7 linked regions of the Macaca mulatta genome follow. The main gene of each other region encodes a partner of the protein of the gene in region 6 in a complex. Links are inferred from orthologs where the notes say so. Each region holds a gene or a part of one and is shown on either strand. Other genes may lie near its edges.

Region 1 (3,500 bases), on a different chromosome or scaffold from region 6:
CAGGTATGGGCTCCTCGTGCTTACTATCACGCCCCGCACAGTACTAATATGCCCAGTCAATGACAGTTTTAATTTGCCACTAGCCAAGTCCCAGATCTGCAATCAAAGAATATTTTTTTTCTTTCCCTGGTTACCGCAAAGCAAAATTTTAGAATCTTTATTATTAAAATTGAGTTTTCAAAGAGAAGAGGAAAAAGATAACGAATATGTAAAAATAAAAAATTTTGTAAAATGACTCCTCTCCAAATAAAAGCAAGAAAAAAACTGGCATGCTCAAACTGGAAAAATATTTGCAATTAGATGACAGGTTAACCTTCTTGTTATATAAATGGAATCTTTGATAATAATAGTATGAAAAGTATGGTATTAAATTAACCGAGGATGGCAACAACTTAAAGAAACCCTAAAAGCAGCAAATACAGATATGAAAAAGTTCAAACTCATTAGAAATTTTATACAAACTTTTTAGTTATTTATTTTTTGAGACAGAGTCTCACTCTGTCGCCCAGGTTGGAGTGCAGTGGCGCGATCTCAGCTCACTGCAAGCTCCACCTCCTGAGTTCACGGCATTTTCCTGCCTCAGCCTCTGAAGTAGCTGGGATTACAGGCGCCCACCACCATGCCCAGCTAATTTTTTGCATTTTTTAGTGGAGACGGGGTTTCACCGTGTTAGGCAGGCTGGTCTCGATCTCCTGACCTCATGATCTGCCCGCCTCAGCCTCCCAAAGTGTTGGGATTACAGGCGTGAGCCACTGCGCCCAGCCTATACAAACTTTTAAAAAAAGATTAAGTATCCATTTTTGCTTACCATATTAGATATTTGTAAAGGAATGTACAACCAATGTGCTGAAAAGGATCCTCCCATACACTGCAAGTATCCATTCACCCATTTGGAAAGTAATTTGTACTTTGGGTATCGGCTTCAAAAATATTTGACCCATTTATTACATTTAGGGAACTCTACCATAACAAAATAATTTAAAACACAGAAAAAGTCTTATATACAAAACTTAACAGCATTACTTGTAATGGTGAAAATCAGACTAAAAACTCTACCATCCAACAATAGGAAAACAGATTATAGACTATCCAAATGATACAATATTATGCAGGCACTTTAAAAGATAGTAAATTTTTCACAGGAATATGCCTTTGATAAAATGTTAAGGGAAAAAGCAAGATACAAAATTACATACTAAGAATGATTTTTAAAAGATACACACACAAGAAAAGAGCTTAGAAGTAAAGGCATTTATACTTACAGAAATAAATACTAAAATGAAACTTATCCAAGTATCTAACAATGGTAGGATTATACACAGGTCTATGTACTTTCATAATTCTCTATATTTTCCACATTTTCTATGAATGAGCACGCTCTTAATTTTGTAACCAGTTGGAGACAAAAATGTAAGTATAAAGGAATTAGTGGTAGGTATTCAGCAGGTAAAGAAAAAGTGGTTTAAATACCACTTTTCAAACAGATATTTATTTAGAACACTTACTCGTATAAATGATAAATTTTACTCCTTATTCAGGTCTAAAATAACAGAGGAACTGCAATAGCAATTCCTGCCACAGGAAATAGTAACTGATTAAACTTACATGACAAACACAAAGTCATGTTTATTTTTTCTTCCCTCATTATTACCTTTATAGTTCTGTCAGCAGACCCAGTAACAAACCACTGATTTCCAGGTTCCACAGCAATACATCGAACCCAGCCAAGATGCCCACTGATAACCTGTATAAAACAAAGTAGAACGGGCGGCTAACATACAAGTTAAAATGTTTTTAAGTTTAACTGCAGCCTGAGTTTGAATTGCCCTCCCATCTTCAAATCATAAATTTAAAAGATAATTTGACTGTTATATTTTACAATATTAAATTATCTTCAACAAGTTAATAGATACACAAATTGTGGCTCATCTATATAATGTATACTACTCAGTAATAAAAAGGAATACATTATTAATACTTGCAACAACTTCAGTGACTCACAAAGGTATTAAGCTGTGTGAAGGAAGCCAATCTCAAAAAGCACATTTTGTATGATTCCATTTATATGACATAGTCAAAAAGACAAAGCTAAACCAACCTAAGTGTCCATCAAGAGGTGAATGAATAAATAAAATGTGGTACATACACACAATGGAATACTACTCAGCCATTAAAAAGAATGAAATTCTGTCATTTGCAACAAGAAGGATGGAACTGGAAGATACTATGTTAAGTGAAATAAGCCAGGCACAGAAACACAAGTACTGCATGCTCTCTCTCATATATGGGAGCTAAAAAATAAATGATCTTGAGAGTTGAATGATGGCTAATAGAGGTTGGGAAGAATAGTAGGGAGGCAGAGGATAAAGAGGGAGTGGATAATGGGTATAAAAATACAGTTAGATAAAGGGAGTAAGATTTAGTGTTTGGTAGCACTAGTTTGGCTAGTTAGCTTGGTAGCACAATAGGGTGACTATAGCTAAGAATAATTTATTGTATATATCAAAATAACTAGAAGAGTAAAATGAAATGTTCCTAATACAAAGAAATAATATCCCAATTACCATGGAGATAAATATCCCCATTACTGTGATTTGATCATTCCACATTGTATGCTTTTTTTTCTTTGTTTCTTGTTTTGAGATAGGGTGTCACTGTGTTGCCCAGGCTGGAGTGCAGCAGTGTGATCCCGGCTCACTGCAACCTCCGCCTCCTGAGCCCAAGTGATCCTCCCACTTCAGCCTCTGGAGTAGCTGGAACTACAGGTGTGCACCACCACACATAGCTAATTTTTGTATTTTTTGTAGACGGGATTTTGTGGTGTTGCCCAGGCTGGTACTGAACTCCTGGACTCAAGAGATCCACTTGCCTAGGCCTCCCAAAGTACTGGGATTATAGGCATGAGCCACCATACCTGGCCTACACACTGTATGCTTGTATCAGATTTGATATGTAGCCCATAAATATGCACATCTATTATGTTAGCCATAAAAATTAAAAATAAATTAGAACTGAAATTATTGAAAAAAAATAAGACAACTATAGTGATAGAAAACAGATCAGTGATTGTCAGAGGTGAAGGAAGATATAACTACAAAAAAATAGCACAGGGGTGTTTTTTGAGGTGACGTAATGTCTATATCCTAATTGTGGTAGTGGTTACCCAAATCAATACATCTATTACAATTCATTAGACCTGTATGTCAAACAAAAAGCTCTTGCTGTACAATCATTTGAAAAATAAAAATTTTAAAATATATATTAAATTACGTGTAGTTGTACATTTTCTACTATGTACACTTTCTTAAAATTTTGTGTTTTTGTGGGTACGCAGTAGAAATATATTTATGGGGAAAATATATATTAAATTACGTGTAGTTGTACATTTTCTACTATGTACACTTTCTTTTTTAAAATTTTGTGTTTAATTTTTGTGGGTACGCAGTAGAAATATATTTATGGGGTACATGAGATATTTTGATACAGGCAAGCAATGCAAA
Region 2 (3,500 bases), on a different chromosome or scaffold from region 6:
ACTGTACTCCAGCCTGGATGACAGAAGACCCTGTCTCAAAAAAAAAAAAAAAAAAAAAATATATATATATATATATATAAACTATTTTTGAAATGTAGCATATATTAAGGATATCATCCAAAAGATCAATTGGTTACATAGAAAGTGTATCAAATTAACTTCCCTAAGATTTGAGTCTATTTACACTACTGTACCATGTCTAAGAGTGCTTGTTTTCCCAGCTCTTGTCAATATGGTGTATCAAACTTTCATTGCCAATATGTTACCTGAAAAATAGCACCTTGGCATAGTTATGTTATACTTCTATTACAAGTGATTTTTGGCATCTTGTCATATAAGAATAATTTTATTTCCTTTCTGTGAGGTATCTATATCCTTTGGCTGTTTTTTCTTGGGCAGGGGAGGGGTGATTCTTGGTCTTTTTATTGATTCTTGGGGCTCTTTACATTTTTGGGAAAAATTAGTTTTAAATGGGAAAAACACAATGTGGCACCATATAGCAAATAATAAATACCTGTTGAACCGAAGAGAACGACATGCTATAGGGAGTAAGCGCTAATGCAGAGGCATACACTGGATTTTAAAGGAACACCTGCAAACTTGGGGGCAGGTAAATCCTGAAGGACAATGAGTTGGCTACATAACTTATGACTACAGCCACATGAATTTAAAGATATCCTTAAAATTTCATCTTTAGAATATATTATTTACTTTTTTACAGGCCCATGAAATGATATTATGTGATTATGCATTTTAAAGCACCTAATTGTGTCAATTTCCATTTTTTCCCTGGCTACTCATAACACTGTTTGCCTGATGCCTTGTCATTTTAAAACACCCTGAATCTTATCCAACTCATAAAATGATTACCAAGTCAAACATAAGGGATATGAAGCCAACCTAAAAAAAGTCACAGTAAACTGTTTCAGAAACTAAGCTGCTTTGTTAGGTTGAAGAGCTAATAAACTAAGTCTGGGTTGCCAAACATTTTCTATCAAGAGTTAGACAGCAAATATTTTAGGCTTTGCAGGCCACATAAAGTCTCAGCCACATATTATTTGTTTCTTTTTTACAACTCTTTAAAAACCTAAAAACAATCCTTAGCTCATGGATATAAAAAAGGCCATGAACTGGACTTGGCCCAGGGTAGAGTTTGCTGACCCCTTATATTAAGTGATGCACCAAAATTAAAACGCTTTTTGTTCTGTTTATCCACACAGCCCTTACTTGTACATAATCTATTCCAGGACTTTCATTTGTGGCTGGTCCAACAGCCCCGTCAGCACATAACTTTTCACCCAGACAAAATTTCTTCCAGCCTTCTTCATCTTCAGATTTTGGCTAAAAGAAAAAAAAGAAAACTGATTTATTCCTGTGTATTAATTTTTACACTGAACAGTAAAAAAAAAAAAAGAAGTTAAGGCCTTCCATATTCCCATTACCTCAACCCAAAGATAGGGTGCCAGTTATGGGGAGAATCTCTGTCCCCAAAATTTGTATGTTAAAACCCTAAACTCCAGTACCTCAGAATGTGACTGTATTTGGAGACAGGGCCTTTAAAGAAGTGATTAATTTAAATTGAGGCCATTAGGGTGAGCCCTAATCCAATCTTACTAGTGTCCTTTTAAGAGGAAATTTGGACTCACAAAGAGACACCAGGGACTCCCACACATAGAGGAAAGACCACGTGAGAAGACATGGTGAAAGTGGCCCTATGCAAGCCAAGGAGAAAAGCCTCAGAAGAGACCAAAATGAGGCCGGGTGTGGTGGTTCATGCCTGTAATCCCAGCACTTTGGGAGGCTGAGGCAGGCGGATCACATGAAGTCAGGAGTTCAAGACCAGCCTGGCCAACATGGCGAAACCCCACCTCTACTAAAAATACACACAAAAAAATTTGCCGGATGTGGTGGCACACACCTGTAATCCCAGCTACCCAGAGGCTGAGGCAGGAGAATCGTTTGAACCCGAGAGGCGGAGGCTGCAGTGAGCCGAGATTGTGTCATTGCACTCTAGCCTGGGCAACAAGAGCGAAACTCTGCCTCAAAAAAAAAAAAAAAGAGAGACCAACCTTGCTGCCACCTTGTTCTTGGACTTTCAGCCTTCAAGACTGTGAGAAAATAAATACATTTCTGTGGTTTAAACCACCTAGTCTGTTATGGCAGCCCTGACAAACATAGTGCCTAAGTGGCTACAAAATATGTGGGATATGTTGCTTTTTCTTATTATTACATTTTTTGAGACAGGGTCTTGCTATGTCGCCCAAGTTGGAGTGCAGAAGTGTGATTACAGTTCATTGCAGCCTGAATCTCCTGGGTTCAAACAATTCTGCCACCTCAGCCTCTTGAGTAGCTGGGACTACAGGCACGCGCCACCATGCCTGATAATTTTTAATTTTTTTTTGTAGAGATAGTTGTCTCACTATGTTGCCCAGACTGGTCTCAAACTCCCGGCCTCAAGCAATTCTTCTGCTTTGGCTTCCCAAAGTGCTGGGATTACAAGTGTGAGCAACAGTGCCCAGCCAAGATGTGTTTAGTTTGGACAAGACTTTAATGGACACTGACAGACAAAGGTGTGTCCAAAAGAGGATGATAAAGACAGCAATAAGTATGGAGGAAAAATGCACCAAGAATGCTTAATAGAATGAAGGATGTTTATCCCATGTAAAGAGATGTGATTACATATTTCACATATCTGAAGGGCTGTCCAATCAAAGAAGAAACAGATCTACTCATGCTGCCAGACAGAAAATTCAGGACTAGTTGGGAGAAGCATTCAGTTCAATATAACCTTCTTAACAAAACAACTTTTATTTGTACATATCACCTTGCACATTACTCTGCATAGGTGTATTATCCCCACCCAGGGATAAGTAGCTTTCATTAAATCTTTAGGATGAATCATCTGAGGTCAGGAGTTCGAGACTAGCCTGGCAATCTGGTGAAACCCCATCTCTCCTAAAAATAGAAAAATTAGCTGGGTGTAGTGGCGGGTGCCTGTAATCCCAGCTACTTGGGAGGCTGAGGCAGGAGAACTGCTTGAACTCGAGAGGCAGAAGTTGCAGTGAGCCAAGATTGTGCCATAGCACTCCAGACTGGGCAATGAGAGCAAAACTCCATCTCAAAAAAATAAATAAAATAAAAAATAAAATAAAATAAAATAAAACCTCATGATGAACATGAGACCACTACAAAGTTAAACCCTATTGTCTTGTCTTGGAATAAGGTATCTACTTTTTCCTATCATTCCATCAGGTCAGAAACTGTTTCTGTTTCAGTTAGTACTCAATATCCTAATTATTAAATATAGTACATGCTTACTTATATCAATTAATAAACAAATGTTTATGTTTTCACACAGTTGCCATCAGAGTGTACTTCATTTTTTAAATAATTTAAATAGAGACAGGGTTTTGCCATGTTGCCCAGGCTGGTCTTGAACTCCTGAGCTCAGGTGATCTGCCTGCCTCAGCCTCTCAAAGTGCTGGGATTACAGGCATGAA
Region 3 (3,500 bases), on a different chromosome or scaffold from region 6:
TGCTTGTTTGCCTAGGGTGGAAAAAGAAGAAAATCTAGGTGCAGGGAGGGATTATTTAGAATTCTGTGCAAGGGCATTGAGAGAAAGGTTGTAAGAACTGGGCTGTGATTTGGTAGGAAATTTGGAAGGACGAAGAAGTGGTTTTTTTGGCAGACCAGGAGGATGGTGGAGCATTATGTAGTGAAGACTTAGTGTGAAGATAAATGTTGAAATAGGGATGAAGGAGAGCAGGGACTTGGGTGTGGGGTGGTAAGTGGTTAGTTGGGGGCCAGGGGCCTGACCCGTGTCTCCCCGCTCCCCCTCAGGAGCGGTGGTGCCCCCCCCGGGCACGGGGCCATGTACAACGGGATCGGGCTGCCGACGCCCCGGGGCAGCGGCACCAACGGCTACGTCCAGCGCAACCTGTCCCTGGTGCGGGGCCGCCGGGGTGAGCGGCCTGACTACAAGGGAGAGGAGGAACTGCGGCGCCTGGAGGCTGCCCTGGTGAAGCGGCCTAATCCTGACATCCTGGACCACGAGCGCAAGCGGCGCGTCGAGCTGCGATGCCTCGAGCTGGAGGAGATGATGGAAGAGCAGGGGTGAGGGAGAGCTGGGGGAGAGTCAAGCACTGAATGAGTGCAGAGCTGGGGGTGTTAGGTGGGATGTAGGGAGCTTAGGGTGGTTGAAAGAGTCCTGGCAAGGAGTTGTGGTAGGGGAGGAGGCAAATGAGCTCTAGATAATTGAAAACAGTTAAGGGACAGTGCAGAGTGGGAAATGAGAAGGCTGTGTGTCTGAGGCATAGATGGGAGCCTGAGGGATTAAATGGAGGCACATGGGAGAAGGGAGGGGCCGTTGAGGAACAAAAATGTGTTTCAGGGGAGAGATGGGAAAGCAGAAACCAGATAGAGGAGCTAGGTAAGCTGATAGGTGTTGTCATTGGTAGAAAAGAAGAAGAATGGATATAAGGATTGAGACCTTGGAAAGTAGCATGGGCAGGAAAAGAGGAGGAAAAGAGGAATTAGAAGAACATTTGAAGAGGGAATCATGGGCTGGGAAGGGAAATTTTGGAAAAGGAGCACATTAAGGCAGAAAACTCTTTTAGAGCAGTGGTTTTAAACTTCAGCAGTGGTGACCCTTTTATACAGTATCCCTCACTTTGGAATCCCAGGAAATAAAAGGCACGTTCTTGTTGAAGTTGGGGAGGAGCACTTGAAACCCTGCTTAATTTTTTTCTTTTGGCCCCTGAAGTGTAGCATATTTAAAATCCACTGTTCTAGCGGGAGTAGTAGGTAGAGGGAAGAAAGATAATGGGAAAAGATTAGACTGAAGAGAAGGAACTTTTGGGTGACAGCGAGTGAAAACTTCTGTGTGTGCATGGAGAGGGAAGGGCCCCTTTGGGGAATGAGGGAAATGGAAACCTGGGACTGGGGAAAGTGTCCTGTCAAGCTTAACCCTGAAGGGATTTGTTCTTCAGGTACGAGGAACAGCAAATTCAGGAGAAAGTGGCGACCTTTCGACTCATGTTGCTGGAGAAGGATGTGAACCCTGGGGGCAAGGAGGAGACCCCAGGGCAGAGGCCAGCGTGAGTGTTGCACTCTCCCTCGATGACTCTGGACTCTACTCTGGCTGCTGGCTGCCGCTCCCGTCCTTTTCCTTACGTGGGACTTCCTGCTTTCGTCTGCCTTTTCCATGTCTTATTTGGCTCCTGCTTATACTTGTGTTCTGAATATGGCTCTGTCCTTTATATTTCCTTCAGACTTTTGCCCTTCTTTTCTCTAGGGTCACGGAGACTCACCAGTTGGCAGAATTGAATGAGAAGAAGAATGAAAGACTCCGTGCTGCCTTTGGCATCAGTGATTCTTACGTAGATGGCAGCTCTTTTGATCCTCAGCGTCGTGCCCGAGAAGCTAAACAACCGGCTCCTGAGCCTCCCAAACCTTACAGGTATACAAGGCCAAGAAACCATTGTCAGCTTCTTTTCTTGATTGTAAGATCCTTGCTCTATTTTTTTCCTTTTGTGGACTGATTTCTTCCCAAACTCTTCAGATTTTGTTTTTCTGAAGTTGAGGTGTCCAAGAAAATTTGTCCAAGGGCTAGCCACAGTGGGTCACGCCTGTAATTGCAGCATTTTGGGAAGCTCAGGCAGGAGATGACTTGAGGCCAGGAGTTTGAGACCAGCCTGGGCGATATAGTGAGACCCCCTTTCTACAAAAAGAAAAAAAGCTGGGTGGTGGCACGTGTCTGTAGTCTAAGCTACTTAGAGAGGTGGAGGCAGGAGGGTCTCTTGAGCCCATGAGTTGGAGGTTACAGTGTGAGCTGTGATGCTGCCACTGCACCCCAGCTGAGGCAACAGGGCGAGACTATTTTTAAAATTTTTTAAAATACTTTTTTGAGACTGTCTTTTAAAGAAAAGAAAGGAACGTTTGTCCTAGCGCTCATCTCTGCTGCTTTTCATCTTTCCCCAGCCTTGTTCGGGAGTCTAGCAGTTCTCGCTCACCAACCCCAAAGCAGAAGAAGAAGAAAAAGAAGAAAGATAGAGGACGGTAAGTTAATTGGAAAGTTACTTTGCTAGCCAGAGGACCAGTCCTGTGGTGTACTCTCTCTCTGGAAGTGGACAGTTCTGGCTTCCACAAAGCAGGAGATAGTTGTCAGGAGGAGGGAGTTACCATTGAGGCCTCACCTTGAAGAAATATCTGAGTTTTGCAGTGGGGACGTGTTGAGTTTGCAGTGTTGCCAATTAAGATCAGCCAGCAACATTATGGATTCTGGAATTTCCTTTTTCATTTTGAGGTTTGTTGACTCAAGGAGTTACTTGTTGGAGAAGAAAGAAAGAAGTCCTGGGCTTAGGTCTGGGGCATTAGTGCTATTAGGATGTTCAAGTGTTTTAGAAACCTTTTTAGGGGAGAGATTGTAAGTGGGAGGGCCAGGAAAGAAGCCAAGCAGAATGATCTTGCTTCTGAATCCATCTTTAGCAGGTCAGAGAGCAGCTCTCCTCGACGGGAGAGAAAGAAAAGCTCAAAGAAGAAGAAGCACAGGTACGAGGTGTGAGTACTTGAGTGATTGGAGAAGGCTTGCTGAATTCAGGCAGAGGTGTTTTTTATGTTTTTTCTTCTCTTTTTTCCGACAGGTCAGAATCCGAGTCCAAGAAGCGTAAGCATAGGTAAGAGCTCTTTAACTCATTGGGGGCACAGTGGCATGTAGAGTGGTGATTTCTTTTTCTTGAAGTGAAGCTCAATACCTTGATCTTTCTCCTGTTAACATTCCCTAACTCTTTCCATTTCACTTTTGGTTTTATTTCCTTTTTTAAAAAAGTTACTTTTAACAATCTTTCCTTATTTCTCAGGTCTCCCACTCCAAAGAGCAAACGTAAATCTAAGGACAAAAAGCGAAAGCGGTGAGTGAATTTGTGGGGAATTTGCTTAGAAAGTAAGTGAACACCACCTTAGTGGGAAGGGGTTGAGTCAGTTATGTCCCTAACTGGTAAAAGGTTGAGGGGTAGGTGAGGAAAATCCAGGGCAGGT
Region 4 (3,500 bases), on a different chromosome or scaffold from region 6:
GCCACCGCACCCAGCCAGAAAGGGTATTAACCCTCTTGCCTAGGCTGGTCTCACACTCCTGAGATCAAGTAGTCCTCCCGCCTCAGCCTCCCAAAGTGCTGGGATTACAGATGTGAGCCACCATGAACCACCACGCCCAGCCTGAGGTATATTCCTTCTACACCCAGTTTTCTTAGAGTTTTTATCATAAAGGAATGTTGAATTTTATCAAATGCATTTTCAGAATCAATTAAAATGATCAGGCCGGGCGCAGTGGCTCATGCCTGTAATCCCAGCACTTTGGGAGACCAAGGCAGGCGGATCACGAGGTCAGGAGATCAAGACCATCCTGGCTAACACGGTGAAACCCCATCTCTACTTAAAATACAAAAAATTAGCCGGGCGTGGTGGCGGGCGCCTGTAGTCTTAGTTACTCAGGAAGCTGAAGCAGGAGAATCACCTGAACCCGGGAGGCAGAGGTTGCAGTGAGCTGAGATTGTGCCACTGCACTCCAGTCTGGGCAACAGAGCAAGACTCCATCTCGAAAAAAAAAAAAAAATTGTATGGTTTTTCTCCTTCACTCTGTTGATAAAACGTGTAACACTGATTCATCTGCATATGTTGAACCACCCTTGCACTTGTACCCCTGGGCAAAATGCCGCTTGGTCATGATGAACAATCTTTTTTTTTTTGAGATGGAGTCTTGCTCTTGTCTCCTAGGCTAGAGTGCAATGTCGTGATCTCGGCTCACTGCAACCTCCACCTCCCAGGTTCAAGCGATTCTCTTGCCTCAGCCTCCCAAGTAGCTGGGATTACAGGCATGCGCCACCATGCCCGGCTAATTTTTATACTTTTAGTAGAGACGGGGTTTCACGAGGTTGGTCAGACTAGTCTTGAACTCCTGACCTCAGATGACCCAAGATCCGCCCACCTCAGCCTCCCAAAGTGCTAGAATTACGGGCATAAGCCACTGTGCCCAGCCAATGAACCCTCTTTCCAATGTCTTGTTGAATATGGTTTGCTAGTATTCTGCTGAGCATTTCTGCATCAGTGTTCATCAGGGATACTGACCTAACGTTTTCTTTTTTCAGTGTGTCTTTGTCTGGTTTTGGCATCAGGGTACTACTGGTTTTGTAGAATAAGTTTGGACGTATTCCCTCCTCTATTTTTCAGAATAGTTTGAGTAGAATTGATACTAGTTCTTCTTAAAATACTTGGTAAAATTCAGCGATGACGCAATCAGATTCTGGGATTTTCTCTGCTAGGACTCTTTCTATTACAGCTCTGATCTCACTACTTATTCGTCTGCTCAGGTTTGGGATTTCTTCATGGTTCAATCTTGGTAGCTTGTATGTGTCATTTGACATCTTTAATTCATTTGCAAATTACTCAACATATAAAAGATTAATCAACAGTCAGTGAGCCCTTTTCAAAGATGGTAACCCTGATGTATCATAAAAGTAATCCACAAAATTCTACTGATTTCTGGAAAATCTTAAGAGTTCTTAAGCTCTCCACTGCAGCCCCCAGCCCCTAAGGCTGTTCCGTAACAGCCCAGGGCTTATCCAAGCATGGCTACGACACACCAAGACCCTCAGGTGGCCTAAAAGCATACTATTGCAACGTTTCTCTGAGTATAAAACAATTCAAAACAGCCGGGCGCAGCGGCTCACACCTGTAATTCCAGCACTTTGGGAGGTCGAGGCGGGCAGATCACGAGGTCAGGAGATCGAGACCACCCTGGCTAACACGGTGAAACTACGTCTCTACTAAAAATACAAAAATTAGCCGGGCGTGGTGGCGGTGCCTGTAGTCCCAGCTACTCAGGAGGCTGAGGCAGGAGAATGGCGTGAACCCAGGAGACAGAGCTTGCAGTGAGCTGAGATTGCGCCACTGCACTCCAGCCTGGGTGACAGAGCAAGACTCCATCTCAAAAAAAAAAAAAAAAAGGCAGGGCACGGTGGCTCATGCCTGTAATCCCAGCATTTTGGGAGGCCGAGGCAGGTGGATCACGAGGCTGAGACAGGAGAATGGCGTGAACCCAGGAAGCGGAGCTTGCAGTGAGCCGAGATCGCACCACTGTACTCCAGCCTGGGCGACAGAGCGAGACTCCACCTCTAATTAAAAAAAAAAAATTCAAAACTTTTTTTTTTTTGGAAACAGGGTCTCACTATGTCAACCAGGCTAGAATGCACTGACATGATCATGGCTCACTGCAGTTTCTACCTCCTGGGCTTAAACAGTCCTTCCACCTCAGCCACCCAAGTAGCTGGGACTACAGGTGTGCACCATTTGACTAATTTTTAAATTATGTGTAGAGATGAGGTCTCGCTATGTTGCCCACACTGGTCTCAAACCCCTGGGCTCTAGCTATCGTCCTACGTTGGCCTCCCAAAGTGATAGGATTACACACGTGAGCCACTGCGCCTGGCCTCAAAACTTTTTTTAAAGTTGGATAAACATCGTGAAAGGCAACAATCTCTTTTACCGTCTTTCTTTTCTTCTTTCATCCATCCTTTTATCCAGGGCTGCGTAAATGGCATCCGCTTCCTCGTCATCTTTCTCATAGGGTCCGCTTGAGAAGAGGCTCCCAGCGTAGCCATTAAACTGAGAAGCAAACGACATGTGCAGAGAGGTCAGCTTTTCCTCCATCACCATCCCCACCAGCAGAAACAGAGATCATCTCTACTTGTGAAATACTTGCTAAATTATTTTCTCCAGCCAACGAAGCCAAATTGAGGGACAGTCTACAATATAACTGGTGACTACTCTTCAAGTGTCAAGGGCATGAAAGACAGAGGAGCCGCTCCAACTGGAAGGTACCAAGGAGACATGACAAAATGCAACGGGGGTTCCTGAACTGAGCCTAAGTCAGAAAACGGACATTCGTGGAAACACATGAAATGCAAATACGACTGACAGATTAGTTAACAGTACTGTGTCGATGTTAACTCTTTCGTTTCAATAACTGCACTGAGGTCATGTAAGATGGGGAGAAGCTTGGTGAAAGATATGCAGAAACTTTTTTTTTTTTTTGGCACTATTTTTGCAAGTTCCTGCAAATTTAAAATTATTTCAAAACTAAATTTTTTGTTTGTTTGTTTTTGAGACGGAGTCTTACTCTGTTGCCCAGGCTGGAGTGCAGTGGCACGACCTCAGCTCACTGCAAGCTCCGCCTCCCAGGTTCACACCATTCTCCTGCCTCAGCCTCCCAAGCAGCTGGGACCACAGGCGCCCGCCACCGCGCCCGGCTAATTTTTGTGTATTTTTAGTAGAGACAGGATTTCACCGTGTTAGCCAGGATGGTCTCGATCTCCTGACCTGGTGATCTGCCTGCCTCAGCCTCCCAAAGTGCTGGGATTATAGGTGTGGGCCACCATGCCTGGCCTCAAAACTAAAATTATTTTTTTAAATATTCCTCAGAGGAAAGGCGTCACATGTTAGAAGACAGTTAATCGATATTCAGTCAGCTGAGGTTTTTCTGTAGATGTCTTTTTAGAGGGCAAGCACTAAAGCCAAAA
Region 5 (3,500 bases), on a different chromosome or scaffold from region 6:
GGTCTTTGCAAATGCTACTGCCCACATTTATGATTTCTCTCAACTTTTCCACAACCCCTGTTCCAAATCCTGCCTAAAACTCACCTCCTCCAAGAAGTTTTCCTCATTACAACCTTATCCCACTCTGATTAAACTTTTTGTTTCACATTCTCTTATCATGTAAGAGCTTGGTTCATATTAGGTTAAATTACACTGTTGATATTCTGTTTGCCAAGTGTTAAGTATTTCAATGTTAGTATAATTTTCCCAACTAAGTCTAAGCTCTTCCAGGACACGGGCTTTCTCTTTCTTCTTCAGTAATCCCCATTAACACTTTGTTTTCATCAAACAATGGAAACTCAAATATGATGACTAATTTGCAAGGTGAATTTAACAGGACCGAGAGTGGCCAACTGGAAGGGACAATGGGAAAAAGCAAATGTACACACCGGTGGTAGGCTTTGGGTGACATCCCCTCTTCACTAGGAGGGCTCGTGTTTTGCAAGGACATATCCTCGGCCAGGGGCGAGCGCTTCCTGGAACTCCTACAGTTCAAGAAAAAGGACTCTCCCATAATATATTGTGTGGGGTGGGGACTTGAATGGACCAAAAATGGGACCCGTATCCCAAAGCTATCTAGACACCTCCTTCAAGAAGCCATTTTTATTAATCCCACCCAATGTAGTCACTTCATTCACAGCATGCCCTCAGCACTCATACAGAAGTATGCCCTACTGGTCAGATGCAGAGGCTCATGTCTGTAATTGTAGCACTTTGGGAGGCCGAGGCGGGCGGATCATGAGGTCAGGAGTTCGAGGTCAACCTGATCAACATGGTGAAACCCCGTCTCTACTAAAAATACAAAAATTAACCGGGCATGGTGGCATGTGCCTGTAATCCCAGCTACTCAGGAGGCTGAGGCAGGAGAATCACTTGAACCTGGAAGGTGGAGGTTGCAGTGAGCCGAGATTGTGCTACCGCACTCCAGCCTGGGCAACAGAGTGAGACTCAGCCTCAAAAAAAAAAAAAAAAAAAAAAAAAAAGCAAAGCAGTATGCCCTATCGTGACATAATCTTCACTGTACAGATCTGTGTATACTGTGGCTCAATCATTCCCCCTTAAATATAACAAAATTCAACATAAGTCTGAAATTCTATAGCCAACCCTAAAATTTACATGAAACTGCTACTTAGATTTTATAATACGTAAATATATATTTTGTGATACTCCTGCCTCTTCTAAATTGCAACTCCTCGGCTCAAGAGATCCTCTTGCCTCAGCTTTCCAAGTAGCTGGGATTACAGGCACATGCCATAGTGCCTGGCAAATTACAAACTGTTTTAAGGCCAGCACTATCTCTCCTTCTCTGATCACCCTACAATGCTCTAAACACAAAGGGCACAAATCTCTCTGTTTTTTTTTTAGTTCCATAGCCTGGCCAGGGAACCAAGCAGACATTATATTCACTCTTTTCCCTCAGGAAAAGCAATGGGATAGCCAAGGTATCAAAAGAACTTCGGAAGGTTTGATAGGAGTCGCAGAATTTTTTTTTTCTAAAGAGAGATACTGGGAAATGAGTAGAAAGACAGACTACTTGATACTGCTAATACTGAAAAAGGCCAGGATCAGTCAGCAACTACAGAATAAAAAGTGTAGTAGTTAAGGGGGTACTGACAACTCCTCCAAGTGTTTCACTTCTGGCACCAGAGGACCAGCAATATGCCATAGAGCAAATGGTAAGCTCTCAAGAATATAATAAATAATAGTTACTTTTTTGGTATCCTATCTACAAGTGCATTGCAGAGAAACCTCTACAAAGAGGCAACAAGGAGGTCTACAGCTCAGGTACCAGTGGAGTCACATTCTAAAACAACTTATTAGGCCTCAAATAAATCAAACATAAAATCTTAGAGCAATCAGTTTATAGGTAAGAAGGAAAAAAAGGAAATATGGAGAAACATGAGAACCAAAACTCCTGTTATTTAAAAAAAGACAAAGCTACCAATTATTTATTTGGATATTTAAACCCATGAACTTAGGTAGTTCAGATGGTGATGACACAAATTCACCTCTCCTACTTTAATGTCTAAGTACCTCTCTTGAACATTTGCTGCTCTAAATAGAGGATATCAACGTGTGAACTGGTAAGCTCAGCAACTCTGTTACCATTCAAAACAGTCCTGAGCTCATTAGACAGTAAATTGTAACCTACCTTTAGCTCTCGTTTTCTGCTCCTGTCACTGCTAGACTTGGAATGCCTAGAGCTTCGGCCTTCCTCCACAGCCTCAAAGAGTTTGTCCACAAATCGGAGAGTAGAATCATCAAGAAAAGGTTTCAGATGATCTGACAGGAAGAAAGGCAGTGGTAGGATTGGAAAGGTAAGACTACATAGTCTAATACTAGGCCTATAACAGGTACCAACACTGGAATTTTATTCCCAGGAGTGAAACAAATTTTAAGTTTTTTTCTACGATTCCCATCTCTCTTACATTGAATGACCTTGCCCTATGAGGTGAAAATAGTTATAATTTTTTGGAGTGGGAAGTCGTACAGTCAGAGCAACCTGTTTACGTTGAACATCAAGTTTAAGATGAATAACCACCCTAACCTTTCCCAAATAGCAAGTTGCAGGAGACTACCATTAACAAAATCTACCTCCTTCAAGCTTTTTTATGTATTTCATAAAGACTTTTATATGTTGAGATGTCAATCTGAATCTGAATATGCCTATCTGACTTAAGCATACTTCCTAAGTAAATCTAACTTAGGTGACTCGGTATGGTAGCCAAAGATTTAAAATCTATCATAAATAACATAAAAAATAAACAATAAGAGAAAAAGCAAATTATGATTTAGCCTATTTTCATTATAATACAGATGAAAACAAAATATGGCCTGCCCTTTTTTTAGATGTTCCCAACAGAGAGAATTTTAGGGAAGTTCAGTGTTTGGGGTCACCCTATATGTTAAGACAAAAGCTGCAGAAAGGTACATACCGGCTGCCTTCTTCTTGTCCATGCCCTTCCCCACACAGTTCAATGCTGCTGTGACCACTGTAGGCTCTGAGAAACCCAGGACCCTCTTCACTGTCTTCTCTATCCATGGTTTCAGCTCATCCAGCTCCCTCTTAGACAGTGCCATTTTGCAGGAAAAAGAGAACAATAGCTCAAACTGGACTCAATACTACACCTAAAAACAAAAAGAGACAAGTTAGAGAATAAGAAAAAACTAAAGTGGGTTGGGTGCAGTGGCTCATGCCTGTAATCCCAGCACTTTGAGAGGCCAAGGTGGGTGGACTGCTTGAGGTCAGGAGTCAGAGACCAGTCTGGCCAACAGAGTGAAATCCTGTCTCTACTAAAAATACAAAAAAATTAGCTGGGCGTGGTAGCATGAGCCTGTAATCCCAGCTACTCCGGAGGCTTAGGCAGGGGAATAACCAGGGAGGTGGAGCTTGCAATGAGCCAAAATCACACCACTGCACTCCAGCATGGGTGACAGTGAGACTCTGGCTCAAAAAAAAA
Region 6 (4,125 bases):
TTAAAAATGGTTAGAGTGGCAAAATTGTAATGTATATTTTACCACAATAAAAAGAAAATTAATTACAAAAAAAACCCCACCAAAACACATGGCTGAATCATTTACAGAAACTCATTTGACAGACATACAGTCAGTTCAATTTCTTCGGCAGATGTGTCTTTCCCCTGAAGGAATGAATTTCCTCAATAACTTTGGTGTTGTGCCTTTAGCATCATTCATTAAAAGACTCATGAATTTCACTTGAAAACTTTCTTTCAGGGCTAAATGATGAGAAATGTTTTGTTTTCTCCAGCAAAGTAGTGTGTTTCCCTTACAGTATTATTATGAATTAAATGTCTGAGCTCTTCTTACTTTAACTACTAGGAATAAAATCTGTGGCTGAATTCTGGTTTAAGTCCATGTCTTGTACCTAGTATATCATAGTATCCTCCCTGGCTTTGACTTTATTTTTTAATTTTGCCGTACATTTGTCAATTTAATTGTATGTATTCTTATTAGTCAGACTAAACCTTTGAGCAATAAGGTGAAGCAAACTAAATGCAATGTTATGACCTTTACAGCTCTTTAGCTTACCTGCATGTTCATGTAGCCATCTACAGATACCAGATAGCCCTTGTACTCCATTCCCCACTTAAGTTTCACCATCACTGGCTTTCCTGTTAGTCCATTGAGGAAAGGTTTGGGATTGAGGGGTAAACTCTGCACAAAGAACAAAAAAGGATCCAATTAATTATTTTTCCTCCCACCACCAACTCTCTTCTACTAAATACCAATATTTTGTGGTATGCAAATGAAGAAAACTCTTGACTCATTATTTTAGTACACAATTTTCACTTTCATTTATTGGAGAGTACCAGGGAAATTTAAATATCCAGTTAGCCAGTATCACCTTTAACCCATCAAAACAAAATACTCACTATTCACTTAAGATAACACCGACTACATACATCACTTACTGTTCTGAGCTCTAAAGAAACAAAGATAAAGGCACTTAAAAAAAAAAAAAATGCGGGCCAGAAAGGGTGGCTCATATCTGTAATTCCAGCATTCTGGAAGGCCAAGGCAGGGGGATCACTTGAGGCCAGAATTTCAAGACCAGCCCAGGCAACATAGTGAGACCACCTTCTCTACCAAAAATAGTCAGATGTGGTGGTGCACACCTGTAGTCCCGGCTACTAGGGAACAGAGCAAGACCTTGTCATAAATAAATAACAGAGTCCCTGTCAAGAAGTTGGAGATGGGGAGGGGGGCTCCTCACATACAAATAATTATACTGCATATTGCAACATAATAAGAGGAGATATACTAGGCACAAGGGTACCGAAGCAATCCAGGGAAAAAAGGAAAGGTTGCCTGAAATAAGTTAACCTCAGTTTTAAAGAATGAGAATTTATTTCCAGAGCGGGAAAAAATCCTGTTCCAGGCAAGGCTAGCTACTTATGTAAAAGGAGGGAAGAGTGAAGCAACAAGGTGATTTTGGGGACATACAATTCAGCATTGTCAGTCAAAGTCCCAAATATAAGACTACAGAAGGAAGCAGAGGGCAGATGACGCTTGACAGTCTTTAACTGTGGAAGCTAGGGCTAGGTCCTAAATGACTTTGTCACTAGCACTGCCTCTTATAGCAATCACTTAAAGTTTGCTCAGCAAACCATTAACATCTCCAGTGAATTCGGTTTTTGCCTTTTTCTGCTCACTCACCAGTCAAAGAAAGAACAGAACTAAGAAACTTGGCTACTAACCCCCTCTAACATAAACATATTCGGAGTGACTTGATGCGGCGATTACTCCAATAACCTAATGGGTCTCCAGTTTTCATTCTCCAATTTATTATCCACCACAGCAACATGATTTTTTAAAGTGCACATCAAATTGTCATATTTCTGCTTAAAATGATTCAATGGCTTCCAACTCAATCATTTTCAATTGATTTGGAGTACAATCAAAACCTCCCAATACAGCCTAAGAGGTCCTGTCCAACGCCTGCTCCTCCGACACCATCTCGTAACCACTCTTCCTGCAAGTGGCTGTACCTTTTTGTCAATTTCTCCAACTGACCAAGCTTTCTTTCCGGCCGCAGGTCTTATGCGCCTATTCTCTGTGCTCGGTACACTCCTCCTCCTGCTCTTTAAAGGGTCTATTTCATGACACTTAGGCTTCAGGTTAAATTCCACCTCCTAGGGAGGCCATCTCTGACTAAGCCTCTAAATGTCTAACGCGCACCCTCACAGCCTCCTGTCTGCATTCTTCTTAGCACTTATTACTTGCAATTGCATATTTGTTATTTTTTGACTGTCTGTCTTCCCCAACCGAGTTAAACTAGAGCATGGCCGTATCATTACTTTCATGCAATGAAAGTGAATTTTGGAGTGTGGTTAAGTGGGAAGTGCAAATTCTCTTTGAGTTTTACCCCGACCCTGTAGCCACAAATAAGAATATCCCAAGCCCGGATTCAAACAAAGAGGAGAAGGCACGGGCACTCCTAGAAAAAGAAAGGCATCGGGAGGAGCACGCGCCTCAGAAATCCTAAAAGCAGAGTGAAAGAAGCTGGCGACCGGGTGCGCGGCGCCTCACGCGGATGAATGGGAAACGCGCGAAGCAACCACTAGGCCCCGCGAGGTGGTCTCCCTCCTTCTCTTTCTCCCCGCTTCTCCCGCCGTTCTCGTTCTCCTTACCATCGTAACCACGGCCGAATATTGCAGGCTACTCACTGCCGACCAGGCTGCCGCTTGTCCCTCGTGACTACAGCAGGTACCCCAGGTCCCGAGCCGCTGAATTTCAAGAAAAATGGCCGCCAAACAGGAGTGTGACCTTTCACCTCCCACCACGGCCCTTCCTGCCTCTGTGATTGGACGAAAAGAGATGCGCGCTGATTGGAGGAGATGGTTGGACCAGTATCTCCTGGCAACCAGCAGCGGCTTGAGTTTGCGCCTGGCCGGCTGCGCGCGGGTCTTGGGAAACCCGCTCTGAGGAGCAAGGTGAGGCAGCCAAGGACTGGAGGCAGGCCGGTGTTGTAAATGTGCGGTCTGGGAGAGGCTGTGTGACGGATGTGACTTCTCCCCAACTTGGTTAATGGGGATTTTACTTTGTCTTTTTACACCCGTGAGAATGTTCAGGATCCCAGAGTTCCTTCCTCACTCTTCCAACAGGTTCCATGATTTGGGGGCGCCTCTGCCGCAGGCCGTTTCTACCTGAGTATTCTCTCTTCTGCAACACCCATTTCAACCCCTTTTAAAGGAATTCGGGGGTAGCCAGACAAGACTAGGGGCGGTGAAACGCACCGAAGGGAGTCGGATACAGAATTTATTTTAAACGAGGTCAGGTTGTGTCTGGGATACGGTGTCATGTCCCCCCACCCCCCACGACCCCGCCGGCCCCATCTTTCTTTTGCATCGCCAGCAGAGACTGGCACGGCCTTCTTACGTGCATTTGAAATTACCTAAGGGCGTAAGCAATATTTCCGCTGTCACGGATTAAAACTTTCGACGTAACGGTGTTATCTGAATCTCACTGGTTTTTGTCGTAATCCTAGTGAGTTCGGCTCACTCTGATCTGAAATGCTAAATGCAGTTCTTGGAGAACACGCCCTTTGGGAAGTAACGCTTTTTTGCGGCCCTGAAGAGATGGATTTGAGGTTGAGGATGAAATGTTGGTTGTTGAGGCACTGTGGAGCAGTGGGCAAGACTTTGGAGAGGGCCTGCATTCGGAACCTGCGTCTATCAGGCGCAGCCGGTGTTGGGCAGTGTCTTAACCCTCAGGGCCACTGTTTCCACGGCAGGAACGCGGCTTTAAAAACGGAACCATCCTCAGCGTGGTTGCGAGAATTTAACCTAAAACGGGGCTTGGCCTTGTAAAAGCTCAGTGTTTCACATAAGTGTTGAACACTGACAAGACAGTCATTGTCAGTGTAGTTTTTACCAAACAGTTATTAGATTTATTCACCCTAAACTTAAGTGGATTTCTTCCTTAGTTTGTATATTGTTTCATGAACTTTAAGTCTTTGTACAGACTTTGAGTTCCTACTATGTGTCAGGCTCTTTCAACAATTGTGGAAATCTTACCTTACCGTCTGATTCGGGGTGACAGCCCCGTTTTAGAGATGAGGAAGCAGGCCCAGCAGGTAAC
Region 7 (4,139 bases), on a different chromosome or scaffold from region 6:
GACCTTAGCTGCACAGGACAAATCTAGATGTTCAGTAAGGACTGATTGAATCAACCTGACCTACTGGGTGCAGGTACTCTAGTACCTTTCTAGTTAATTTATTCATTTGAGCCTCATTTCTTCCTCTACAAAACGAGGGTGGAAATTTCTTTTACTTTCTCTTTCTTTTTTTTTTAAAACAAGGAGTCTCGCTCTGCTGCCCAGGGTGGAGTGCAGTGGTGCGATCTCAGCTCACTGCAACCTTTGCCTCCCAGGTTCAAGTGATTCTCCTGCCCCAGCCTCCCGAGTAGCTGGGATTACAGGCGTGTGCCACCATGCCTAGCTAATTTTTGTATTTTTAGAGGAGACAGAGTTTCACCATGTTGGCTGGGTAGGTCTTGAACTCCTGACCTCAGGTGATCCACCTGCCTTAGCCTCCCAAAGTGTTGGGATGACAGGTGTGAGCCACCACACCTGGCCCCCCCCTTTTTCCTTTATTTTAGAGACAGGTTCTGCTATGTTGCCCAGGCTGGTCTCAAACTCCTGAGTTCAAGCAATCCTCCTACCTCAGCTTCCCAAAGTGCTGGGATTACAGGCATGAGCTGCTGCGCCCGGCCAGGAATTGTAATTTTATCTGCTTCATTGGGTTGTTGTGAGGGTGGAGAGACAATACATGTAAATTGCTTAGCACATACTCTAGTATCATACAGTACATCATCTGCTCACTTGCTAGCTATTAATTTAACAATATTAATTTCTGTCTCCTGCTCAACTAGGAGAGAGCCTATGGAAAAGAGTAAGTGCAGCGGCTCTCATGCAAATCTGTAGGTATTCAATTCAGCCTATAGAGGCACACTGGTCTGTTGCCTATGTATTGGGATAAGAACAACAGAAGATTTACCTTTTCACCTATCTTCTTCACTTTTCTGCCATGACAGGGATGCTTTGATGGGTCTGTGCGTGAGCAACTGACTAGGAGCGAAGGTCCAAGTGGGACTCTGGACTGGGAGCGAGGGCTGAGACTAAAGTCGCCACATCAGGCTGCTTATTCCGTTCATTCAGCAAATATTTATAGCTAATCTAACCAGTTTCCGATATCGTTCAAGAGCTGGGGGTCCTGCAACAGCCCAGGCTCGTGCCTTTACCCCATTTCACAGAGGAGAAAAAGCGAAAAATTAGAGAAAAACCGTTTCTACAAGAGGTAACTGCAAAGAACGCGGAAGGCTTCTAGTGCGCAGGCGCCACGCCCCGGTACGCCCCAGCTCTTCCGGCGCGAGGTCACCGACTCGACGAGCCACCGGCGCCGGGGCCGCGCATGCGTGGCGCTGCCTTTCCCGGGCGCTGATTCCTGAATGCTGAGCGCGAGCCCGCGGAGATGAAGTAAGGCGTCAGCTTCCTTTTGAGGAACGAGCAGCGGGCCGCTGAGGGTGGTCTACCGGGGCTGGGGTGGTAGAGCGTCTGCGGGGTCGAGGGGCGGGAGAGGCGCGGGGACTAGCACAGCTCGTCCCCTTGTTTTGCTCTTCTTCAGCTTCGGCCGGTTAGCATTTACTTGTCTGCTTTTCTGCCTCCCCTCCCCCCCGCCACCGTGAAGTCCTTTAACTAAGGTGAAGCTGATCAACGAGCTGAATGAACGAGAGGTCCAGCTTGGGGTGGCCGATAAAGTGTCCTGGCACTCCGAGTACAAGGACAGCGCCTGGATCTTCCTGGGTGAGGTGCACATCTTTCTTCCGCAGTGCTCCCAAGATTCTCCTGCTCGGTGTCCGACTATTTCAGCATTTTCACCCTTCACTCCTGCTTACATTCATTGCCCTCCTTTATATCCATCTGCTGTCTGCCCGGGAATCCGTGTTCCATCTTTTTTTTTTTTTTTTTTTTTTCTGCCCCATTTTTAGTTTTCCTTCCCAGCCAAATCAGTGCTCATGAGAGTTACTGTTTGCCATTTGCTGTGCTAAGGTTCAGGGACTGTTGTTATTTCTCTCTCACCCCCTGACCCGTTATTACAGCTGAGGAAATTGGGGTGCAGAGAAGTTAAGGGACTTCCTTAAGGTCACATAGCTAATAACCGCAACAGGCAGAACTATAGCTTTCTAGAACTCATGGTCTTAGCCACAGCCCCATATTGCTACCACCGCCCTCCCCCATTCCCCTTCCCTTGCAGAATTCACTTTGCTCCTCTAGCTCCTGCTTTCTGACCATGGCCACACTACCATTACTGTATTCACTTTATATCACAACCAGTAATTGTACAAGTTTGATGCTTCAAAGAGGTTATTGTAAAAACGTTGTGCTAAGCACTTTATATGCATCGTTTTATTTAACTCTTATAACAGTCTTGCGAGTTACCTGCTAATATCCCCATCTTACAGATGAGGAAAGAAACATTTGGAAGGGAAATTATTCCCTAGGAAATGCTTAACAGTGTCTTTATAACCTTTGTCTATGTGTAGGTGGGGTTAATCATGACATATGTAGACTAATTTTGTATCATAGCTGTAAATTTGTGGGTAATGAGCAGATGAATTCAACATGTTTGTGGAAGCAGAGGTTTGTGATGGAAACTATCTGCTTTGCCCATAGGATTTTGGGTGCCAGGAGGACTGAGTGATCAGTTTACTTTTGTTAGTGGTGACACTGACTTCCACTCAAAATTAGTCACTCCTTTTCCTGTTCTACTGGCACCTTACATGTACTTCTGTCATTGCATCAGACTTGATTTCTTTCTTTCTTTTTTTTTTTTTTTTTTTGAGTTGGAGTTTCACTCTTGTTGTCCAGGCTGGAGTGCAGTGACGTGATCTCGGCTCACTACAACCTCTGCCTCCTGGGTTCAAGCGAGTCTCCTGCTTAAGCCTCCTGAGTAGCTGGGATTACAGGTGCCCGCCACCTCGCCCGGCTAATTTTTTTTGTAGTTTTAGTAGAGACGGGGTTTCGCCATGTTGACCAGGCTGGTCTCGAACTCCTGACCTCAGGTGATCCACCCGCCTTGGCCTCCCAAAGTGCTGGGATTACAGGCGTGAGCCATGGTGCCCAGCCCAGACTTGATTTCTTTAAGGGCAGGGCCTGTTGCTTACTGTTTGCACCCCTAGTGCCTGGCCTAGTGCATGGTACGTAGTAAACACTTGGTAAATGTTGGTGGAACTGAAATGTGGTTTTCTTTTCTAGGAGGGCTTCCTTATGAACTGACTGAAGGGGACATCATCTGTGTGTTCTCACAGTAAGTCCCCTTTCATTTCCTGCCTCCTGAGTCGACAGAGTACTTTTTTCTGTAATGCATTTTGTGGCATCACAAAAACCACTTATTTTCACTCTAGGCTGAATGGCGTCCCTGCATGGGGAGGGCTGGAGCTTCTGCTCTAGTCTAGATCAGTCCCAGGACATGGTTCTAGAATGTTCTCCTGTGGGAGATCCAAGAGGTTTGTTAATTTGGGAGGCCATCTTGGGGATTCTAGTCTATTTCTGTTGTTTTTCACTGAGGTTTGTTCAGCCTGGGCCTAGACTGGAACAGACTGGAACCCTCAGGAAGGTTCCATATTGGTACGCCTCCTTGGGCTCTTGCAAACTAGGGGTAACCCATGGTCACAGGGCCCTTCTGGTCCTTGCCTGTGTGGCATCATACGACTGGGGCAAACCACAGAGGAATTGGGATGAAAAACAGAAAGAAGGTTGTAGTTTGCTTTCTTTGATTCTCAATGAATGTAAGGTTAGTGAGCAAAGCCAATCTCTACCTGGAGGCTGAGAATCACAGCCTGACGAGGAACAAGAATGAATAGGAGATCTGTATATTCTTCATTCTGCTGAGGTGTTGGCAGCAGCATTTGGTGGGAGAGGGTGTTGGTGGCTCATACTGGTAGTAGCAGCTAGTAGGAGAGGGGCTGGGCAGCTGGCCTGCAACCCCAGAGGTAAACAGCACAGTTAGTCCACAGGGCCAGAGGATCTTGGCACAGGTGCAAAGGACCACTACATTTGGGTTTTGTAGGCCTTCAGAGCATAGTACTGTTTCAGAGAAGTTGGACAGCATGTACAGGTAGCAGACCATGGCAAAAGGGGCTGGCCAAGCAAACACAGGTAGCATACACTGGCAGAGGGATTGCTATGGCAGGATGGTAGGGCCATCCATGGACAGAGGGCCCTGGCTGAGTGGTTGGGCCACTTATGGGGCAGCA

Evidence for each region.
Region 1: SNRPF (region 6) and PLRG1 share a complex: the UniProt entries of both Homo sapiens proteins name them as parts of the minor spliceosome. The link is inferred for Macaca mulatta from reciprocal best matches to the Homo sapiens genes SNRPF and PLRG1.
Region 2: SNRPF (region 6) and GEMIN2 share a complex: the UniProt entries of both Homo sapiens proteins name them as parts of the SMN-Sm complex. The link is inferred for Macaca mulatta from reciprocal best matches to the Homo sapiens genes SNRPF and GEMIN2.
Region 3: SNRPF (region 6) and SRRM2 share a complex: the UniProt entries of both Homo sapiens proteins name them as parts of the minor spliceosome. The link is inferred for Macaca mulatta from reciprocal best matches to the Homo sapiens genes SNRPF and SRRM2.
Region 4: SNRPF (region 6) and PRPF6 share a complex: the UniProt entries of both Homo sapiens proteins name them as parts of the U4/U6-U5 tri-snRNP complex. The link is inferred for Macaca mulatta from reciprocal best matches to the Homo sapiens genes SNRPF and PRPF6.
Region 5: SNRPF (region 6) and PRPF3 share a complex: the UniProt entries of both Homo sapiens proteins name them as parts of the U4/U6-U5 tri-snRNP complex. The link is inferred for Macaca mulatta from reciprocal best matches to the Homo sapiens genes SNRPF and PRPF3.
Region 7: SNRPF (region 6) and RBMX2 share a complex: the UniProt entries of both Homo sapiens proteins name them as parts of the minor spliceosome. The link is inferred for Macaca mulatta from reciprocal best matches to the Homo sapiens genes SNRPF and RBMX2.

Annotation. Positions count from the first base shown.
Region 1 is NC_133410.1:163,136,380-163,139,879, forward strand, and holds part of PLRG1 (pleiotropic regulator 1), read right to left. Parts: intron 1,745-3,500; coding exon 1,652-1,744; intron 97-1,651; coding exon 1-96. UniProt on the Homo sapiens protein: Involved in pre-mRNA splicing as component of the spliceosome. Component of the PRP19-CDC5L complex that forms an integral part of the spliceosome and is required for activating pre-mRNA splicing.
Region 2 is NC_133412.1:112,231,110-112,234,609, reverse strand, and holds part of GEMIN2 (gem-associated protein 2), read right to left. Parts: intron 1,342-3,500; coding exon 1,228-1,341; intron 1-1,227. UniProt on the Homo sapiens protein: The SMN complex catalyzes the assembly of small nuclear ribonucleoproteins (snRNPs), the building blocks of the spliceosome, and thereby plays an important role in the splicing of cellular pre-mRNAs.
Region 3 is NC_133425.1:4,059,704-4,063,203, reverse strand, and holds part of SRRM2 (serine/arginine repetitive matrix protein 2), read left to right. Parts: intron 1-305; coding exon 306-578; intron 579-1,453; coding exon 1,454-1,561; intron 1,562-1,758; coding exon 1,759-1,923; intron 1,924-2,444; coding exon 2,445-2,522; intron 2,523-2,951; coding exon 2,952-3,014; intron 3,015-3,106; coding exon 3,107-3,139; intron 3,140-3,322; coding exon 3,323-3,373; intron 3,374-3,500. UniProt on the Homo sapiens protein: Required for pre-mRNA splicing as component of the spliceosome. As a component of the minor spliceosome, involved in the splicing of U12-type introns in pre-mRNAs.
Region 4 is NC_133415.1:116,870,815-116,874,314, reverse strand, and holds part of PRPF6 (pre-mRNA-processing factor 6), read right to left. Parts: intron 2,587-3,500; coding exon 2,468-2,586; intron 1-2,467. UniProt on the Homo sapiens protein: Involved in pre-mRNA splicing as component of the U4/U6-U5 tri-snRNP complex, one of the building blocks of the spliceosome.
Region 5 is NC_133406.1:116,809,743-116,813,242, forward strand, and holds part of PRPF3 (U4/U6 small nuclear ribonucleoprotein Prp3), read right to left. Parts: intron 3,169-3,500; exon of another isoform or gene 3,163-3,168; 5' UTR 3,121-3,162; coding exon 2,976-3,120; exon of another isoform or gene 2,938-2,975; intron 2,403-2,937; exon of another isoform or gene 2,323-2,402; coding exon 2,192-2,322; intron 525-2,191; exon of another isoform or gene 429-524; intron 1-428. UniProt on the Homo sapiens protein: Plays a role in pre-mRNA splicing as component of the U4/U6-U5 tri-snRNP complex that is involved in spliceosome assembly, and as component of the precatalytic spliceosome (spliceosome B complex).
Region 6 is NC_133416.1:103,187,234-103,191,358, reverse strand, and holds the start of SNRPF (small nuclear ribonucleoprotein F), read right to left. Parts: upstream 2,801-4,125; 5' UTR 2,679-2,800; coding exon 2,676-2,678; intron 700-2,675; coding exon 574-699; intron 1-573. UniProt on the Homo sapiens protein: Plays a role in pre-mRNA splicing as a core component of the spliceosomal U1, U2, U4 and U5 small nuclear ribonucleoproteins (snRNPs), the building blocks of the spliceosome.
Region 7 is NC_133426.1:136,863,525-136,867,663, forward strand, and holds the start of RBMX2 (RNA-binding motif protein, X-linked 2), read left to right. Parts: upstream 1-1,339; 5' UTR 1,340-1,354; coding exon 1,355-1,359; intron 1,360-1,570; coding exon 1,571-1,686; intron 1,687-3,138; coding exon 3,139-3,190; intron 3,191-4,139. UniProt on the Homo sapiens protein: Involved in pre-mRNA splicing as component of the activated spliceosome. As a component of the minor spliceosome, involved in the splicing of U12-type introns in pre-mRNAs.